Linked DNA regions of Astyanax mexicanus. The protein of the gene in region 1 interacts with the protein of each later gene in a pairwise test. Links are inferred from orthologs where the notes say so. Each region holds a gene or a part of one and is shown on either strand. Other genes may lie near its edges. The genes, in order: aptx and xrcc4.

Region 1 (11,147 bases):
AGAGACTCAGTCCCTGTCTATTGTGAAGAAGGCCAGTGCAAGAAACCCCTGTGAGATCTTTCAGTACAGTCCCGTCAGTTCCACTAGCAAAGAAAATGTTTGCCCGAGCCCACAAGCAGAACGTCTCCGGAAACATGTCAAAAAGTTTGCTCAAATTGTCCCAAAGAGTCCATCAATGCATCGACAAGCATTAATATACAAAGCAAGGAGGTCTTTTGTGAAGCACTTGTTATTTAACAGCTCAAAAATTAACACAAGGCATGTCAGTAGGCAAAAGAGAACACCCAAGACCTATGGATCCTGGGGGATCTACAAAACAGCTCTGCTTAGAGCAAGGTCTAAGTTCCCAAGCAATTCCAAGAAAACGTCAACAACCAAGGTTCAGAAAGACCTCAAAACCCACAAGGGTCCCCTGAAAATGAGGGTGGAGACAACAGGCTCATCAAAAGAGCCTCTTCAATCGGTAAACGAGGTGTCAGAACGAGTCTCAGAAAATAAGTTGCCCCAGACTGACACTTTTGAGCAGGAGGGAGGTTTTACTGGCACTGTTGAAGAAGAGAGAATTAGCTCTAAAGCCTGGAGCCCAGAGAAGCTGAAGGAGTGCAGGGTTTTCTTAAAAAAGATCAACTCTCCCAGCTCAACATCAGTGACTGTTCACACTGTCTCCCCGGCTGGGTGTAATGTCCCTATGAAAGAAGAAAAACAAAAGGACAGAGAAACCGCCAAGCTGCAGAAGACGTTCTACTCTCCAAGAAAATCTCACTCAACTACAACCACCCCAAGCAAGTCGGGTGAAAAGCGCAGAAGTTTCCATCCAAATGAGTCGTCTTCAGCAAAAAGGACACGACAGTCGAGGAGCAGCAGAGGAGTCCTGGCAGCCAAATGGTGCGATTTTGTGATTGGTAAGTGAGGGTTTTTCTTATATGTTAAATATGAATTAAATAAAATCACTATCAGTCTGGCAGAACGAGCTTCTAGCGAGATTGCTTAAGGCTACTTTTATACAGCACGTTAAAATCAGATTTTCTCACCAAATCCAGAAACCTTACCAAATCTCTGAACTAAAATAAAAGTTTATCACTGTTTGCTCCCTTTTTCAGAGTTATAATTATAATGCGAACACCAATCCCTCCAACCTGTCTGGATCTGATTCTTTGCATATTTCGCTGAAAAACGTCAGGTTAAGAAAGCATATTTTAGGCTGTTCCCATATCTGTCATTTGTCCATGCTTTTAAAACTGATGCTCACGTACTAAAGAGAAAAGCTTCACAGAAAGTTTTGGTTTCATCCCCACCATAATATGGCTTATCACACAGATAGCACTTTAGCTCACTGTAAAAAAAAAATAAAATAAAATAAAAAAAAATATCTCAGGCAAGGACACTGCTTTGCATTATGTCCTCATATATTTTATTAGAAACACAGAGCAGTTGCGACATAAGCCTGCTGATATTATTATAACAGTGACATCAGTCCACATTGCGCTGTGTGAAGCCTTATTATCCAACATCTACTTAGTGAATTTTCCCAAGTGATAATGTTGTTAATGGAAGTGATGATATGTACTGTCTAAAATCAATATATCTACATTTAATGCTGTTTCTTTTACCTTGCAACCTCTGCCTTTTACAGGACCACCCAGATAACAGAATATTTCAGCAGGACAGTACAGACAACTCAAAACATAAGGTGCCTTTAACAGCAGACTGGCTGAAAATCAAGAGCATTAGGACACGCACACAACCTCAGCGAGCATCATGTAGCAAAAGACTTTAATTATGAAAACTTGCACTATGTAATCTTATTGTGTCTTTATTTTATATATCTGTAAACGTGGCCTTTTATTACTTTTTGAGACCTGATTTATTTTATTATTGTAAAGAACCAGGACACCGAAAGGTGTTCTTGTTTTTTGTTTTTTTTTTCTAAATGTGTGAAGAAGTGTTTAAAATATTCCTGTCAATTTGCAAAGCCGCTAATCCTGGAGTACTGTAAACATCCCACACTCTTTTCAGTAAATGAAATACTGTAGCTGCATTCGTAACAAGGACACGTTACATACTTTTGAAGGTACCTTAACATCAGGACCTTCTCTGGTTCCACTTTTAGGTGAAAAATTTGCCTTAGCTGTTCAAGATTAATACAGTCAGTTAAGCTGGTTTTGAGATCTAATACAAACAGAGCAGGAAGTGCCATTTCACTGAAGCTGTAGCTAAAATGTCCTTCTGTACGGGTCTCTGGAACAATCTTGGCCCAATGTTTATCTGACTGACATTCTTTTCTAAAGCATTAATTCAATGTTATGTTGCATTGCACTACAAACAGTACTTCTGTTACTTTTTTTAATGGACTGCCACTGTTCTCCTCGAGTGCAATGTTCCATTTTCTTATGCCGAGGTGTTACGAGGTGTTTTTAGGTTATTTATGTATTAAATATTTAGGTTTTGTTATTTACAAAACACCCCCATACAAAACGACTTGGGGGAGTAAAAGCACGACTTGTAGTATGTGATCCCTACATTTCGTGGTCATGTTTAAACTCTATTAAATGCAGCCTAATCTTTTTTCTGTTCAGTTTAGACTAAAAGATGGTGTTAATACACTTTTTTAAACTACTAAACTAATACATTCAGAATAAAAGTTCAGTTTAAAAAATGTTTATCTGGATTTTAATCTTTTCATCTGATTCAAGTTTGATTGGGGTTCAGTCAGGTGCATTATTTGTTTCTTGTAGCGTCATATACCATTCTTAAATGGGTGCAATCTTCGTGGAATCCCTGTTTCTAAAAAAGTTGTGTCCTAATTCTTCAATGAAACATTTTGTTGTTTTTGTCCGATCTGCTGCTCATGACTTTCAATACATACTGTCCGATCTGATGGTCCTGCAGAAACACGTGGATAGCAGATCAGAAAAAGGGAGGGAGGTTTTATACATCTCAGTGAACTCCTTCAAAAAATTAAGGACTGGTGCTATCTTTTACACACACTCTGATATCTGTGCTTTGTCTTTTACATATGTGTTGTGTCAGAAAAATTAAAGCTCTTTTAAATGTGTTGCCTTGATTTCTTTTATAAAATAAATATCAGTTTCTGAATAAAGGCAGGGAATTTATACCTGTCCACTTTGGGCTGGTGTGGTTGCATGTTTTTTTATTCCAGCCAAGCAGGATTAAGTCACCAGTTGTTTGAAGACTGATCGGCTGATTAAACAAGTGGAATCAGCAGTGCTGCTTATTGTTTAGGAGGAACATTCATAGCCACACTGGCCCAGTATGGACCGTTTTGATAGCCCTGGTTTAAAGAATGAATTTTGTTTGAAATACTTCTTAAAATGAAGATCATGGTTGGGACAGAGATAACACAGGAGCACTGCCTTTAAAAAACATCACAAAGGCTGCAATACCAATCAGTGCCAGTGCAGTCACATTTTTTTTTTGCTTTGCTTAAATAGGGTCGGGAATCCCATTCCCATTCCCTTCTGGTCCAAACAACAGCTTCCTCCTTATTTGATGATCAATTTGTGGTCACTGGTACAGAAAGCAAACGAGACAGAAACGATTTGAAATTTGTAAGAAGTCATTTGAGGACGAAGAAAAATGTGCAGGTCCCACCGAGATTTGAACTCGGATCGCTGGATTCAGAGTCCAGAGTGCTAACCATTACACCATGGAACCCTTCTTGCTCAAAGAATTGGATTCAGAGTCCAGAGTGCTAACCATTACACCATTGAACCCTTATGGTCCAATCAACAGCTTCCTCCTTATTTGATGATCAATTTGTGGTCACTGGCACATCAAACGAAAGCGACAGCAACAATTTGAAATTTGTAAGAAGTCATTTGAAGACAAAGACAAATGTGCAGGTCCCACCGAGATTTGAACTCGGATCGCTGGATTCAGAGTCCAGAGTGCTAACCATTACACCATGGAACCCTTCTTTAAATATGCTTACTGTAAAATTATAATATATTTACTAAGTATTACACCTGTATCACTATTATACACCAGGTATGTTAGAAATGTACTAAGAATTGATGTTAAATATATGCTATCTATTTACATTGGAGTAAAAATATGCTTCTTGTTCCTGTCTTTTGTAAGCAGAACACTTCTAGTATAGTATATACTTTGTTGGGTATAAAAATAGATTTTAACATACTGTACTACAATTTTTAGCATGTTACAAATTTACTTCAAATGTTATAAATGTAGCAATTTATTTTTCTTTTTAAAAAGTTACAGGATACGTTGTACTTTGTGAACTACTGTAAAATCTGTTTTTAGCACACTTTGCTAAAAATGTACAAAAGTATATTTGGAAATCAGTATTTTAGAAGTATGCTGAATTACATTGAAGTAAATGTGTAATTCATAGTAGTCTATTTATTTAAAATGCACTGTACTGTACTTGTTTTAAGAGTATGATCAAAGTTTACTTTCAAACATTTGATGAAAGCATAATATTAATGTACTTTTAATATATTTTAAGTAAGTACATAAATCTGTTAATATATTAACAGCATACTTAGACATTTCTCAATATGTTTTAAGTACAATTAAGTATATATTTTTCCACCAGAGTATACTTGTACCTGAGTAAGGAATGTCAATACTCTTGATATCTGTGGTTGCAGAGCCGACAGGCCCACTGAGACTAACCTATTCAGGCCGAAATAGCTCAGTTGGGAGAGCGTTAGACTGAAGATCTAAAGGTCCCTGGCTCGATCCCGGGTTTCGGCAGAGGGTTGAGATGTTTTGAGGAGCAGTGCTCTCTGCTGGTGAAACGCTGCAGCTTACTGCATTTTCTTTGTAGTAAACATCACTTCCTGTGTGACACCTGTGGACACAAATCACTCCTGTGTTCATGGGGTTATAATGGTTAGAACTCTGTAAATGTAAATGCAGCATACTACACTGCAATTACAGTAACTATTAACAAAATACAACACTAATATTAAGAAAAACACACGTTTTTGTTGACTACATAATTCATTTCATGCTCCGCCATATGCTAATATTATTAATAATATCAATCCACAACATAGAACATAATAATAATACAAATTGAATTACGAGGTGTGTCCAAATTTGAACTATTTTTATTATTTGTATGTATTTTTAAAACTTTATTTTTGATTTGACTTTATTGTTTTGATCTTTGATCTCATACACTCTTTTGTGACCCTTAATTTGATTTTAAATTATATTTACAGATGTGCATAAAATATGAATGTACATATATTTGTAAATATATTCCTAGTCCTTAATGATTTGCCTTTAATTCTTTAAACCTTTACATGTCTTGTAAAACAATAATAGTATTAAAGTATGTATTTTATGGACAGTGCTAGATTTCTGTATGGGGCAGCTGGGTGTTACTGGTACTGTGTTGTATGCTGTTAGTGTGGGTAATCTCCACAGAATGAAAAATAAAGCAGTAGAGAAGATAATGGGCATGCCACAGGTCTGACAGAAACACTGAATTTCTTGAAATATCAGGCCGAAATAGCTCAGTTGGGAGAGCGTTAGACTGAAGATCTAAAGGTCCCTGGTTCGATCCCGGGTTTCGGCAGAGGAAGTGAGATGTTTTGAGCAGCAGTGCTCTCTCCTGGAGAGAGTCATATATGGACCTATTAAGTGTACAAATACGGTACACTATACGGTAATTACAGTGAATGTTATACAAAATATATATAAAATTTTAGGTAAAATTTAGGACTTTATTATTTATTATTTGAGCATTCATATCGCAATATTCTTGTGCAATGTTTTTGCAATGCGACATCAATATCCATTTCTCAAAACTTTTCATTGTTATTACAAAGTAAAATTCACGCATTATTACTATTTATTTTACTCCAATCATTGTTGCAAAGATTGCAATATCAAAATCATGACATGTTTAATCATCGACTGCTGCCGAAATTTGGAAAAATTCCAGTATTATTTTATGTCGCACTAGATATTAAAATATCGTGCAGCCCTAGTAAAATCTAACAATACATAAGTTGTTTGCAATATTTATTTTTGTCTCAAGTCAGCATTCACAGCCTATATTACAAAATGAACATCTATAATATACAGTATATCCAGTCTCAGTCTTGTTTTATGCTTATTATTACCATACAGCATTTTCAGCAATCTTCACACATCTTATTTTATTTTTTTTTGTCTGCCTCCAAAAATATACAGGGAAGTACCTGCATTTTAACCTTAATTTATACATTTTAACCACATAATATCATTGTTGTTTTATTTTTTTCACATCAATATAAATATAATTCCATTTATACAGTCTTTACAAATGTATTCTTTTATTTGCACTATTATCTATTATTAAATCTATTATTACACATTTACACACTAGAGAGTTTTACACAGAGAGATTTACACAGTTGAGAGTTAATATTAAGTATTTTGTGTGTTTTTTTCTTACAATTTACTTGATTTTGATTATCTTTTTTGTTAGTTTTGTATTTTTTAGGTAATGTTTTTGTTTACAGTGTAAAAAAAGGATTTTTATCAGTTAGCTTTAGTATAAGTAATAGTGTGTAAGCAAACAAGCAATTGAACTGTGTTTTTCATCTCAGATCAATACAAATATTATAGTACAAATGTTCAATCAACGTATTTGAGTTGAATTAAATCAAGTTTCATTTATTTTAACCACATTATTATTATTATTTTTTTAGGTCGCACGGCTGAACCAGGGTTACAGTGTGCTTCTGCGCCCTAAAACTTTTTATATTAGGGAGCAGGACACATGTGATTAGTCGTAATTAATCACAAAATATTGTTGTGATTAATTCAATTCATTTTTAAAATCGATTGACAGCACTCATTTTAATTAGTTTAATAAAATATGTCCCTATATTTTAATACATATATTTTTAAAACGTTTTTGAGTTACCGTTTTACCCGAACTTTTATTTTGAAGTGTTGAAATGCACATGCGGCACATTGCTGCTGCTGCTGGTTCGGAGAGTTTCTATTTCAAAGGCTTTTTAAAAACCTCGCCATCGCACTAAGCCGTGTCAGACCGCCTATAAACCATATTTGAGGATCATCTTAAAGAGATCAGAGTCTTTATCCTTATAGCTGCTACAGATGCTACAGAAGCTACAGATAGTCAGTCTGTGTTGTAGCTGAATTAAAGGCTAGCCTAGCCTGGCTAATATAGCCAGCTACACTATACAGCAGATTTAGTACAGTCAGAAAGTTACATTTGCTTTATAAAACTCATTTACAGCAGGAAAATGCCCAGCTGCTGGTTTGTAAGCGAAGATGACTGTCACAAACCCATTCAGCTCCCTCACCAGCAGACTGTGAGTTTGGGTCGAGGTCCAGAAACTAAGATTAAAGACCAGAAGTGCTCCAGAAACCAAGGTAAAATCTTCCCTTTTTATCCCACACACAGTTTCATTTACTTCTAACGAGGAGTAATTGAGAGTAGTCTCACTTATATACCTATAGAACCAGTGAAAATTTGGATACACCTCTTCTCATTCAAGTGTTTTTTTTATTATTATTATTTTTAACTTTGTAGATTTAATGCTGAAGTAATTAAACATATACACGAACAAATGCGGAATTATTTAGTAAACAAAACGTGTTAGCACATGATTAACATTGCTAAAATTGCTTACAGTATATTGTGATACATTCCATTGTAACCCCAGTATTGCGATATGTACTGTATGGGCAAGTTCTTGCCAATATACAGCCCTACTAGAATATAACAGTTTGACCGTAAACCAGATAAAGTTTGATAACTAAATTAAATTCTGAACCAGAAGCCATAGCTAATTACTGATGTTCAGTGTCCTAGGTTTTTAAGCTCAAGCATTGCAATTTAATACAGGTTAGCGACTGTTACATATCTAATTATAATCTTTACATATTTCTGTATTTTCACAGTTGAACTGAGAGCAGATTGCAACCGAGGATTTATCAGTGTGAAACAGGTAAGCTAGTCATTTCTAATCATTTTAAAGAGTAAATAACAAAATCATATAAAATAGCATTGTTTGTTGTTGTACAAAGCAACTATTGGGAGTGAATAAAGCAAACTTTAGTACTGTCATTTTGTCAGTCTTAGCACTGACTTAATTAGCAGCTGCAGGATAATAATCGATACTCTACTTGGTTGTCTACTGAGATTTGAGGCATTTATGACCAATTAATCTTTGGTGTGTTGAGTCATTTACTTTATTTTACTCGTGTACTGTCTTCTTTAACCCAGACTGGAATAAAAATAAATTATTTAAAACTCATTCGAATAATTTCTCCCACGATAAATATATGGGATAGGTCTAGTTAGTTTCATAAATGGAAATACAGTACATACCATCAGGGCTTTATCCATGCAGTACTCGCTGCCTGGGCCGCCATCCTGCCATCACTGTACTTGGTTCAGCACAACCTTAAAAAAAAAGAACACTAGTTTGTACACTTATTAATAGGATTTCGCTTTCTGCTACCTTAGCAGTGTAATTTATGTAATAAATATTTTAAAAACCTTAATAATGCTCAGACAATTATTATTCTTGTTATTTGACAGCGGTGCTGCTCTAATCATGGATTTAGTTAATTCAGCAGTGCTATTGTAATTACACATTAGCATGTTAGCTAGATATCTCTGCAGTGTTATTTCAGTCATACAATTGTTATTTTACTTGTTTTAACTAATTGTACTTTTAGCTTGCAAACTAGTTAATTCAAAAGTGCTGTCTTAGTCAAACCTTTAGCTAACAGTTAGTTGCTAGCTGCTATGTTATCTCAGCAGTGTAAATTAAAGTTATAAATTTTTTTGTTACTTATTAGTGTTATTCCAAACATAATTGTATTTACGCAGTGCAAATTAGTCATAATTATACCTTAACAATGCTGTTCCAGTTGTTATTTTATTTCAGAAGTGCCGTATGTATCATGATTAAATTATCTTAACTTAACTGTGCTATTCTAATTAAAATTTAATTCTTATTATGAGTTTGGTCATTTCAATAGTTCTAGCCACACATTTAACTAGTCAACTAGTTTGAATTCACCTAGGTAACTTAACTAACACTAGCTAGCTTGTCTAATTAACCAGCTAGGTAACTAACTAGCTAAATAACTAATGCTAGCTAACTTGGCTAACTTATGCTAGCTAGCTTGGCTAACTAACGCTAGCTAAATAACTAACGCTTGCTTAGCTAACTAACCAGCTAGGTAACTAACTAACCCTAGCTAGCTTAGCTAACTCTAGCTGGCTAACTAACCAGCTAGGTAGCTAACTAACACTAGCTAGCTTAGCTAACTAGCTAAGTAGCTAACTAACTCAACTAGCTAGGTAAGTAAAGCTAGCTAGCCTAGCAAACTAACCCTAGCAAGGTAATTAACGCTAGCTATGTCATTAGATAGCTAACTAGCTAGCTTTTACCCTCAGCAGTGTTATTTAATCATAATTTACCTTATTAGTGTAATTTACTTACACAGGAGCGCAGTTTTCCACAGAGAAAGACAGTGTTTTCGTAAAAACGAAAAAACTAATGGTGAAAAAATTAATGCTATGGCTAAATTAGCTCAGCTACAGTTAGCTGGTAGCTATGTTACTACAGATGGTATCTTCTAGCTGAAGAGCAGCCTGTGTGTGAGGAGGTAATGTTACTAAACTGATACAGAGTGTTATAAATGATACTAAAAACTTTATTTCATGTAGTTTATTAGAGTAGAAAATAAAAATGAACCTAAACCAGCTCCCTGCTGGCTCTCTACCTCACCTCTCTCTGTCTGCTGAGTGCCTGCCTCTGCTGCTGAAACAACCTGTAATCAACATTATTGATTACAATATGATATGGCACACCCCTGCTTGCTTAATTAATTTTTTATTATATATTTTTTCAAATATTTATTTATTATATTTATTTATAGCTGTTTTCAGCTGATTATTTTTGTCCTTGTGGCTTTAATATTTATGGATCTTAAAATCCTGAAATAATTATTTGAATCTGCATTTCGTATGATTGAATTACATTTACCTGACTTTTTAATAACATGAAATATTCAATGGTTTAATTAAAAAACGTTTCAAATTTTAAAATATGTTTTTGTGAAATTTACCATAAAATCAGAACTGTCTACCAGATGTTTGCCCTCTAAACTAAATTTGTATTTCTGAGTTTTGAATCAAATAGATTTAAATGTACGGATCTGATTTTACATATTAAAATTATTGTATCTATTTTTTATCTGAAAATGTTAAAATCTGAAATTGGAACAACAGCAAATTGCACAACTCAAAATACAAAAATATTTAACAATACAAAAAACAATACAAATTTCAAGGTACATTTAATTTAAATATAAAAATAATTCAAATTCAAATATTTGTCTGCTTTTACACTCCATAGGATGGGTGCTTACAGCTTATTTATTACATTAACACATTTATTATATTATTTACACAGTAAATATGTCAGCCTTTGTTTATGTAAATATTAAACATGTGTCCACACTGTAATGACTTGTATTTTGTTGTATTTTGCTTTTCAGTTAGGAACTAACCCCACCAGTGTGGACCATGTGGTTGTGGGCAAAGGCAATCAGGTAAAGCACACCTGCATTTTAAATTTCACACCCATGCACCTGAAATTACCTGTGTCATCATTAGTGTCATCATTAGTGTTCCGTGCTGTTTAGTAACTGATGCTGTTGTACAGGGCGCTGGCTGTGACATCATACCAACATCATTTCCCTCACCTTTACAACCAGGTGCCTTTAAAGCCGGGTCAGAAACTCTACATGGTCAACCAGCTTTACCCGTACACCGTGCGCTTCACTGAGGACACGTCGGTGACTGGATCTGCTGGGGAGAAGAGCAAACCAGCGAAAAGGCCACACCAGCGAGATTCTACTGAAGATAAGAACGAGGAGAGTCCAGCCAGGAAAATGTCCACGCCGTCTCATACAGAACAGGAGTCAAACAGAGCAAAAACAACACCAGCAAAAGCGGTGAGATGCATTAAAACATTTTAAAAATGTAAAAACAAATCTAGGTTTAGGTTTTTAACTCTTTTAGAAGCTGCAGTTTAATTTCTGGTGATCAAATAAAAAGCATTATTTTCTAAAATTCTGTATTATTGGTCAGTGTCGCTTCGAACTCTGGG
Region 2 (11,096 bases), on another chromosome or scaffold:
CCAGGAGAAATTCGCCTCTGAAGACTGAAGCCCTGGATTTCATGACTGAAGAAGAAAAGGTAAAAAAACAGTTTTATTACAGAAACAACAACTAGTTTATAATAGAATACAGAAAAGTGAAAAGGTGAAAAATTATTTATTATTAAAAATAACATGTCAATTGAATCTTGATTGGTAATGTTTCAGTGCTGCTCCTGCTCCACGTGCGTTAGATGATCTTTAAATATTATTTTCATATTTTATTTCTGTTTTTTATTTATAAATAGGATTTTTGCAAACATTCTATATACAGTGTTGTATAATATATATATATATATATATATATATTTGTTTGTTTGTTTGTTTGTTTGTTTGTATCTGCAGGTGGAGGAAGAGGAGGAGGAGGATGCCCAAGTCGAGTGTGAGAAGCAGGATGTGGTAGTTTATGAGTATCATGTTTTATATTCCAGCAGTTATCAGGTCCCTGTCCTGTACTTCACTGCGTCGACTCTGGGTAGGAGTTTAGATGCTAATCAGATTCTCCTTGTGTTTTTAGCGTTGGGCTAAAGAGAGGAGAATTTCATTGTTTCAGTGTTCTGTTTGTGTTGCAGACGGTCGGCTGCTGTCGCTGGAGGAGGTTTGGAACAGTGTTCATCCGGACTGCAGGACGCAGCTTCTGAACGAACCCTGGAACACTCTGACCCAACAGGTTAAAATCCCTTCTTCTATAAATATAATATATACTTAAATCTAGAAATACAGAATATTTTTTTTTTATAAAACACACATGGACACTATATGGAAGAAAGAATGTGATGTTCGGCTGATAGCAGTGTGTGTGTGTGTGTGTGTGTGATTGGTCTGCAGGAGCACCCGGTCCTCGGCCAGCCGTTCTTCATGCTGCATCCGTGTCGGACGGAGGAATTTATGCAGCCGATTTTAGAAACGGCTAGAAGAGAGAAAAGGTAAATCAGTTCAGCCCTGAATTTAATTCTGCTGGACGCAGTAATGGTAACAGGTGTGCACAGTGCAGGAGTGTGTGTGTTGCAGGAGAATAAACTACGTGGTGACGTGGCTGAGTGTGGTTGGGCCGATGGTGAGGCTGGTGGTACCAGTAAGTTACTGTACAGTTCCGGATCAGAACCGAGTCTGAGGGTGGTTTACCGGACTGGACTCCGTGCTGAGGTTTGTGTGATTTATATATTGATATATTGATATACTGATATGAGGTATCAACTGAATTTGGTTCGGTTAGTTTCGGTTTCACACTGCAGTTTAGTGACGGATTGAAGCTGCTTGCTGAATAGAGCACCGGTTCTCTATTCCTCTGGACTTGGTTCCTCTGATTGGTCTGAAATTCTGAACCATCTAGTGTTTCACTCTGCAGAAGAACCGGACCGCAGTTCAGTAGATCCAGACTGAGAACATCTTTTCACCAGGGACTAAAATCTGGCATGAGGCTCAGCCGACCAATCACAGTCGCTGTATTCCACATCACTATGGAGCAGTATGATGTTGTTGGGGAGGTGTGTGCGCGCGTGCGCGTTTGTGTGTGTTAAAAAAAAAAAAGTAATTAATTAAATAGGGCACCATACAGCCCAGAGGGAGAGATTTTTAAACTGGGTGTACTGGTACTGGTTTGTAAAGTGGGCTGTTTTGGATGGGTGTGTGTATCAGAAATGACAAAATGTTTTAAATGTTTTTGTTTTTATTATTAGTAAGATTGATCTGAGGGCACTGAGCTGGAGGATGAAACAGCGTCCCAGTGAACCGGCTCAGATCCAGCAGAACCGCCGGGTCAGATCCAGCAGAACCGCCGGCTCTATTTATTATTATTCTGATATTATGATAAACCAGTTTGTACAAAAATGTTTGTTAATTTCCAGTCTACTGAACTATATTGTCTATCGATATTGTTTTAAAGTATTAAAGTTATTGGTAATTCTGATACACTGAGCACTGTGGGAAACTACCGAAAACCTAATATCTGCAGTTTACCCAACTACTGAACTAATGCAAATAACCCAGATGTTTTAATATAAATAGTTGCTGTGCTCTGTCTCTCAAAGTAATTAAGATTTTCACAGATACACAGATCAGTTAGTGCCCGCTGTGTTGCCCCCTTGGCCCTGTGCTGCAGCTCAGTGTATTTTGGGGGGGTCTTCATACTGGGCCTGTTAAAATACCCCCTCAGGTTTGGATCAGGGATGTCAGGGGAAGTAAAACCATATGGAGCCAATCAGAACCCAGTAAAGCCAACGAGACTTCATTCCAGTTCAGAAGGAGAACAGAGGAGCTGGATTCTCCAAAAACACAATTTTTTACATTTCCCACCTCAAATATCTGATCAGCACCAGTAACACTGCGTATACCAATATTGTTTTATATTATTGTTATGGATAACAGACAAGATATTTAGGGAGTTTTTGTCACAAGCTTATGTTTGGTATTATTGTTAAAAGTTGGGAGAGTTAAACATAATTCAGACAAAACATTTAAATAAAAGTAAGAATTTTATCTGGTTTACAGAAACATTAAAAATATAATTTGATGATTATTTCACTGATTTGGTTTCTAAACTGAAAGATTTCACTCTTGGAGCACAACAGTGCAGAAACCTGGGCATCAAACCCACAACCCGCTTCTGCTCCAACCACTAACCCACCACTGACCAAACCAACAAACTGAAGACAGAGTTCATACGGTCATGAAAAACCTGGAAAAGTCATGGAATTTGAAAACAGCAAATTCTAGGCCTGGATAAGTTTTGGAAAAATAAAAATACCCAGAAAGTTTTGGAAAAGTCATGGAAATTATTGCTCTACAAATCTCAGTGTTTCAGTTTATCGTCTAAGAAAAGCTAATTTGGTGTTAAAAATAATTGAATGTTTAGGCAAATCCATCGTGTCCCGTCTGCACTGATATTTTAAAGACTGTACGGTCTGGAAAAAACATGGAAATGTATTAGTTGAAAAGTGAAGAATTTACTTCTAGATGCTTGTTATACTGGGTTAAACTGGATATTAGCTTAATCTCCCAGTAAATAAAAAAACTAAAACAGTATAAAGCATTCCTCAGTTCATTATTAAATTAATTCATTAACAGCATAATAAAGTCTCTTCAGTAAGAATTTGAGAACTCAAACTTTGGATATCGACTCAAACCCTTCAGATCATCCAACTCTATGCGACAAAATATATGATATAGTTTTATATACTTGCATCTATACACGAACACACACACAAATATATACATATATAATACATACATGAACACTAGTGTTGTGACTGTAAAAGAGCAGAACAGTAAATGTTTGAGCTCTGTAGAGCCACAGCTTGATCTGGTTTAGCTGGACCCTCCTGATGCCCCTCTGGAAGCGTAAACACAGCAATCTTCAAACAGTGGATCTGCTGATTGTCCAGAGTTTACCACTCGCACTCGGGCACTGCTGGGCTGATGTATGCCCACGCGAAGGAAAATTACCCCACACAGAATCAGCGCCGAGCCGCTGCCAGCTCAGATCTCCCCGCGTTTATTATTCAATTTTACAAACATTAAAGCTGCAGGGGTTTCATTACACAATACCCACACAAAGCTCCATTCATAACCCAGCGCTGGTTCCAATTTACCACGAGAGGGGGTGAACAACCCCCACACCCCCAAAACTCACAGCGCACTCCTGTACTCTCCTGTGTATGTATGAATATATATATATATATATATATATATATATATATAAAATAAAGACACTGATGAGTAGTTGAGGTTTTTAAGGCAATATACTGTATAAAAAAAGAGAGAGAGAGCGGTTAAGCAAGAGGTTTAATAAACTGAGTTCAGACTTGGACGAGAGAAAGTCAGACTTTATTTAGTAGAGCCGCTTGAACGTTAACTCACACAGCTGAAAACACAGTCGCTGCAGGATGAGATTTATGGACTGGTCAGAGATCTCTGTGCAACTCGTTCACGAGCAGCTCTGGACTGAACCACGGCTTCTCCCACCACGTTTCATTACGTGGTTCTGGGCCTGAGATAATGGGAGCTTTTGGACACAAATAACAATAACAATAATTCATGTTTACAAAACAGTCAGAGTGAAAAATGCACAACTTTTACTTCAAAAGCAGTTCCTGTCCTTTAACAGAACCCCCGCGCTGCAGAACACAGCAAAGAAAACACCGCACAGAACCAGCCCAAACGCCGACACATCACACAGCCCCTCCCGCAGAGATGTCTTCTTCCTAAATCCCTCCATTTCTGATCCATCCATCCTCAGCCAACGCTCTTCAACTTCTGCTATTCCGAGAATAAAATGGTGAACGCCATGATGATACAGCAGCACGCCACGTACGGACTCTTCCGCTCACCTGCAAACAAAACAATGCATTAAATAATGTAGACCTACACTGTACACTCACACACACAAACACACATTCTCAAGGTGTTTGGAACCCATACAGAATAACATACCTATTCTTGCACATTTCCAGAAAATTCCTAGAAATCTGTTGGGGTAGAAAACAGAGAGTAAGAGAACTGTATTATTAAATATTACACACGCATCATTATTTACAATGTTATTTATGTTAATTAGTAGATATTGATTACACTATTAACAGTTACCCAAATGATTAACAGTCATCAGTAGTTTTTATAGTGGGAAGCACATTTCTCCGGTGAGTAAAATCTGATTAAAGGTAAATTAAAAAGTACATTCCGTTAGTTTTAATGTTGAGAACTGTAAATACCGTTAACTTCTTATGGAAACAGAATTCAACACAGCCGCTCTGTATCTGTAGCTCCTGGCTTAATGCCAAGGAGAATTAAGCTCTCATTAAATCATCTTCCTGCAGAGATGAGCAGGATCAGGGTTAGAAGAGAGACATCCCTCTCCGGAGGCGCCGGACCTCGCCAGAAATATCTACAGCCGACTGGAATATAAAGCCCATATAAACCCGGCCAGTTTCACCAGAACCAAACAAACATTTGGAACATCTCAGTCTTTATCAGAACAGATACAGTGCAGCAAAACATTTAATAAACTCTGATTCATCCATTACACACAGTTTTACCAGAACAACAACAACAAAAAAAAAAACATCTGCCATCCAACCAACATTACCTGCATACTCTATAAAAGTACCCCAGGTTTTTTCAGAAACATCTCAGAAAAACAACTTTGGGTTCCCTAGAAAACCAAGTCTAAAAACGAGACAAGAGTCTGAAGAACCGTTCTTTAAACACTGCAAAACAGCAGAATAGGTAAAACCGGTAAATGCAGCTTTGACATTACAGCTCCAGACTAACATTTTTCAAAACCATTCTAAAGCTTTGTGGTAGCCGCCCCAAAATACATATTCTTTTTTTTTTTTTCTTAACATTACTGTTACCTCTAGCAGCATTACCAGCTTTAATAATCTAATAGCCGTCGGAACGCAGAAATATATTTATATCTGGATTGAAACACACTCCTTTACACAAACGCACAGATTAAGATCTAAAGTTTCTCCCAAAAATAAAACACTATCTTTGCAAAATATCTATGTTATTTTTTTCCAAGGATCTATCATTTGACAAACCTCTTAAATATATTGATGCCTTATTTTTTTTTTATTTAAGATTCTAAACCAAAACATACTTTATTTTAGTGTTTAATTATGACTGTCCAACAATTATAATGTCCAACATTTTTTAAATAAATAAATATGTAAAGACAAATATCATTTTATTTCGCTTATTTTTAGGATGAATAAAAAGTACACGATCTTGTTTTAGATACATACCCTGTTTTATTCTTGTCCAGCAGGCTGGGAGCTAAAGCTCGGATATAAGCGCAGGTACAGATCAGCAGCAGAATTACCGTCAGTAAACTCTGGAAATTAAAAATTGCAGACTGCAAAAAATAGACAAACATTAGTTACATAGATTAATAATTGCAGTATACAATATAACTTACACTCTTTATTGCAGTGTTTAGGTTCAAGGTGAAATAAACTTTAGTTTAATGTTAAACAGGCTGTTGATTATTAATGATAATATTTAGTAGATGTAACTCGGGGTTCTAATGTAGAATCAGATTTATTCTACAGAGAAAAACTTTAATATTAATCAGAACTAACGAGCTAATGCTAAAGCTAACGGGCTAAAGCTAATGGGCTAAGGTTAGTGTTTCCCGGCGGTTCTGCAGCGGGATGTTCTGGGAGAAGCTCCGCGCGCCATCGGGAAGATATTAATTTTAGCGCTCCGTTTAGTAAATCAATTTAATCCGGGATTAAATAAAGAAATGTTTCGGTTTTCTCACCATTTCCACAGCTCCGGTAAGCCACCTCACACTTCCTGTACACAGAGGAAATGACGACACTACAGCGCGTCTCATCTGCACAGAGTAAACAGAGAAATCAAGCTGAGGCTAATGCTAACACCCTGCTGACCCACAGGTAAAACACTAACACTCCTCTCACTCTTTATACTCTCACTCTCTATACTCTCACTCTTTATACTCTCACTCTTTATACTCTCACTCTCTAACACTTTCCTTCTCTTTCCTTTCACTCTCTTTACTCAAATTCAAATTCAAATTCAAAGTTGCTTTATTAGCATGACAAATTTTCACATTTGTATTGCCAAAGCTGTGATTAACAAGTATATATATATATTCCTGACAAAATTTAACATAAGATAACTGTACAGGTAAATTTGAACACAAGTTTAAGTAAACAATTAAATTAATTATTATAAGAAAAAAAAAAAAAAAAAAAAAAAAAAAAAAAAAACATATGATTTATAATAAAGAGTAATAGAGCTTGTAGTTCTGTACAGCAGTGTATCTGTGGTCACTCACTGTCCCTCAGGCTGTGGCAGGCCTGGACGTACTGCGCTGCCAGAGTGCAGCACTCACTGTGTTCCCCCAGCAGGTAGGGGAGTTTTTCTGGATCGGGGATGTTTTTAAATGCAGGTAATTTGTGGGTGAATTTGGTGTAGAATTGGGTTCTAATCTGGGAATATTTGGGACATTCTGTAAGGAAGTGCAGCTCTGTCTCTGGTCTGTTCAGTGGGCAGTGTGGGCACACTCTCTGCTCTTTGGGCAGCCAGGATTTCTTGTGCCTGCCCGTCTCTATGGCCAGGCTGTGGGCACTGAGTCTGTACCTGGTCAGGGTGGACCTCAGTTTGGGGTCAGTCAGGGTGCTCAGGTATTCCGCTGCTCTGTACTGACGGTTTAGGGCCGAATAACACTGTAGTTTACTCTGAGATTTAGTTTGAGTTTCCCAATAGCTGATGTAGTTTTTTTGGAGTTGTTTTGTAATTTGGTTGAATCTGATTGGTGTCTGGTCCTGAGTGTGTGGGGTGTTAGTGTGTGTTAGAGCTGTGTGTGTAAGTGTGTTAATGTGTGTGAGTGTAGAACTGTGCTTCAGGACCAGCTGAGTGAGGGGACTGGTGTCTTTGCTCAACTCTTGGTACTGCAGAGATTTATAATGGTAAGAGTGGGGGTCGCTGTGTTGTAAATGTGTCCAGAATTTGATTGCCCTTTTTTGTATTTTTAAAATCAGTGGAAATTGGCCTAATTCTGCCCTGCATGCGTTGTTTGGGGTGTTTCTGTGAACCTTCAGAATAATTTTACAGAATTCTGCATGCAGGGTCTCAATTGGATGTTTGTCCCATTTACTAAATTCTTGGTTTGTAAGCGGACCCCACACTTCACTGCCATAAAGGGCAATAGGTTGAATTACAAACTCAAATATTTTTAACCAAATTCTAATTGGAATTTCTACAGGAATTTGTTGTTTTATGGCGTAGAAAGCTCTGCGTGCTTTTCCTTTCAGTTCATTCACTGCCAATGTAAAGTTTCCAGATGAACTGATTGTAATACCTAAATAATTGTAGTTTTTTGAATATTCAATATTATTTGTACCTAATTTAAATATGTGCTTTTGCCCCTGAGATCTGGATCTTTTTTGAAATACTAAAATATTTGTCTTTTTTAGGTTTACTGCCAGGGCCCAGGTCTGGCAGTACTGCTCCAGCAGGTCCAGGTTCTGCTGTAGACCCTGTTCTGTGGGGGACAGCAGGACCAGGTCGTCTGCGTAGAGCAGGAATTTGATCTCTGAGTCGTGCAGAGTGAGACCCGGGGCTGCAGACTTCTCTAATATTTTTGCCAATTGGTTAATATAAATATTGAATAATGTTGGACTCAAGCAGCAGCCCTGTCTCACTCCGCGCTCCTGAGAGATGGAGTTTGTTTGTTTGCTGCCAATTTTTATTCCGCATCTGTTTCCAGTGTACATTGATTTAATTAGATCATATGTTTTACCCCCTACACCGCTCTCTAGCAGAGTGTATAATAATCCTTGGTGCCAGATTGAATCAAATGCTTTTTTAAAGTCAATAAAACATGCAAAAATTTTGGATTTATTTTGGGTAACATATTTATCAATTAGGGTGTGTAGGGTGTAAATATGATCAGTGGTGCGGAAATTTGGTAAAAATCCAATCTGACTTCTACTCAAGACATTGTGCTCCATAAGGAAGTTTAAAAGTCTAGAATTTAAGATGCTGCACATCAACTTCCCCAGATTACTGTTCACACAGATGCCTCTGTAATTATTGGGGTCGAATTTATCTCCATTTTTAAAGATTGGTGTTATAAGTCCATAGTTCCAGATTTCAGGGAAGTAACCTACACTCAGAACCAGGTTAAATAATTTCACAATTGCCAGCTGTAATTTAGAACTTGAACTTTTTATCATTTCATTTAGTATGCCGTCTGGCCCACTTGCTTTCTTTGGTTTTAGTTTGTTAATCTTTTCTTTAAGTTCCTGCGCAGTAATTGAGAAGTCTAATGGGTTTTGATTGTCTTTAACAGCTAATTCTAGTTTTTTAAGCTTTTTGTTTATATTATTTTGCTGTGGATTTGAATTTGTCTCTATTTTTCTGAAAAGTGTCTGGAAGTGGTTCGTCCAAATATCTCCATTTTGTATAGCCAATACTTCACGGTCTCTTTTTTTAAGGTTGTTCCAGTTTTCCCAAAATTGATTGGTTTTGATTGACTCCTCAATTAGTGTCAGTTGTTTGTGAGTGTGCTGGGCTTTTTTGGTTCTGAGTGTACGTTTATACTGTTTTAATGTCTCACAGTAAAGAAGGCGTATGTGGGTGTTTTTTGGGTCACGGTGCTTTTGATTTGATAATTTCCTTAGTTCCTTACGTATGTTTTGGCACTCCTGGTCAAACCAGTTATCTTCTTTTTTAAGCTTAGGTTTTGATGTATTAATAATTTTTAATTTAGCCTTTTCTGATGTGTTTTTGAATATTGTATTTAGATTTTTTACTGCCAGATTGACTCCTTCTTTACTGTGATAATATATGGTATCCAGAAAGGTGTCTAACTGAGTTTGAATTTCTTGGGTGCTGATTGTTTTCTGGAACTCTTCTGTGCTGTTTTGGGCCCATCTGTATGGTCTCCGGATGTTGTACAGCTTACTGGGCTGAGTGTGTGCTGTGCTGTTAGTCTCTGTCCTTTTAATGAACACAGTAATTTGACTGTGGTCAGACAGAGGGGTTAGTGGTTTTACAGTGAATGCACTGAGAGAGAAAGGATCTAAATCTGTGATCATGTAATCTACTGTACTGTTCCCAAGAGGTGAGCAAAATGTGTATCTTCCTAAAGAGTCCCCTCGTGTCCTACCGTTGACAATGTACAGACCCAGGCTTTGACAGAGCTGCAGGAGGTCTCTTCCGTTTCTGTTTACTACGCTGTCATGGCTGTTTCTGGGGAGGTAAAAAGAATTATTGTTAATAAGATATGATAAGTTAGAATGATCTTTTTGTGAGGGTATAAAGTCAGGCTGTGTCCCTGTTCTGGCGTTCAGGTCCCCACACACAAGCACATTTCCCTGGGCCTGGAAATGGCACACCTCCTTCTCTAGCTCAGAAAACATGTCTTCGGTGTAGTATGGGGACTCTGGGGGAGGAATGTAAATGGCACAGAGGAAGATGTCCTTCTGTGAGCCGATTACAGTGTTTCTGATTTTAATCCAAATATGATATTTCCCTGTTTTTAGAATTTCTATAGCTAAATGAAGATTTGATTTGTACCACATTATTATCCCCCCTGAGCGTCTACCCTGACGTATTGTGCTCAGCTTCTGTGGGGGTACTATAATTTCTCTGTACTCTTTAGGACAGTGAGTGACCATCTCAGCCTTACACCATGTCTCCTGTAAGATTACGATGTCAAGGTCTTTGATACAGTCTAGAAAGTCTCTGTTTAGACTTTTTAGGCCAAAGGCTGATGAGTTTAAGCCTTGGATATTCCACATACATATTGAAAATGATGCCATAGTTTTCCTTCTTATTTTTTCAGTTAAAATGAGATAGACACATAAACATTAAATTTGTAAATGATCTGTGTACATGAGAGAATTATACACCATTCAATCAAGTGCTAAAACATGAACATGAACATTTTTTTTAAATTATATTTTTCTGCTCTTTTTTTAGTTTTTGTAGTTCCTACACAAGTCTGGTGCAGATATATTGCAGTAATTGCTTGATCTCACCCATGTCCTTTTTGGTGTGGGTTCCTTTGAGAGCATCTGCGTAGCTGCACTGTTGCTGTGGGTTGTGAGTCTGGGGCAGTGGGGCTTCTGTAGCTCTGCTCTCTGGTTGGTTCTGGTGGGTTGATGAAATTGGTGGGTGGTGGGGCTTTGCTTTGGGTGGTGAAGGCCGGGGTGCAGGTCTGGCAGGTGGGACATGCTGAGATGACTGAGGTAAGTTGAGCTGGTATCGCTGGAGTCCAGGCGGTGGCCTTTGGGGGGGTTTACGTGTGGGTGGGCTCCTTGTGATTGTGTGGAACCTTTGCATTGCTGCATGCTCTCCTTCTCTGTACATGGGTTTAGGACCTACATGTCTTTGTCGACCCAGTGCCACGTCTTTCAAAGTTTTGGCAAATTCTTTAACAGTGTTTCTGTTTAAGTGCACGTGATCATAAAGATGATGGGGGCCGATGTTGGAGTGGTGGGCCAGGTGCACATTAGGGATCAGGGAACATCCTCTTGAAATTTCAGCATTGACTTTCTGGATGGTGGCTGGATGAAAGTCCTTGCGAGGAAGGAGGGTGGAGA

The links.
Region 2: the proteins of aptx (region 1) and xrcc4 interact in binary tests that used the Homo sapiens proteins (3 or more experiments, as listed by UniProt). The link is inferred for Astyanax mexicanus from reciprocal best matches to the Homo sapiens genes APTX and XRCC4.

What each region holds. Positions count from the first base shown.
Region 1 is NC_064432.1:22,363,084-22,374,230, forward strand, and holds the start of aptx (aprataxin), read left to right. Parts: upstream 1-6,940; 5' UTR 6,941-7,074; exon of another isoform or gene 7,075-7,128; intron 7,129-7,247; 5' UTR 7,248-7,256; coding exon 7,257-7,386; intron 7,387-7,917; coding exon 7,918-7,964; intron 7,965-10,533; coding exon 10,534-10,587; intron 10,588-10,700; coding exon of another isoform or gene 10,701-10,752; coding exon 10,753-10,992; intron 10,993-11,147. Other genes in the region: uncharacterized protein lcorl, read left to right, coding at 1-902, 1,634-1,647. UniProt on the Homo sapiens protein: DNA-binding protein involved in single-strand DNA break repair, double-strand DNA break repair and base excision repair.
Region 2 is NC_064427.1:66,418-77,513, forward strand, and holds the start of xrcc4 (DNA repair protein XRCC4), read left to right. Parts: upstream 1-6,355; 5' UTR 6,356-6,416; intron 6,417-11,096. Other genes in the region: ubiquitin-like-conjugating enzyme ATG10, read left to right, coding at 1-59, 364-493, 591-688, 847-944, 1,030-1,132; tmem167a (protein kish-A), read right to left, coding at 4,276-4,346, 4,450-4,484, 5,763-5,872, 6,281-6,355.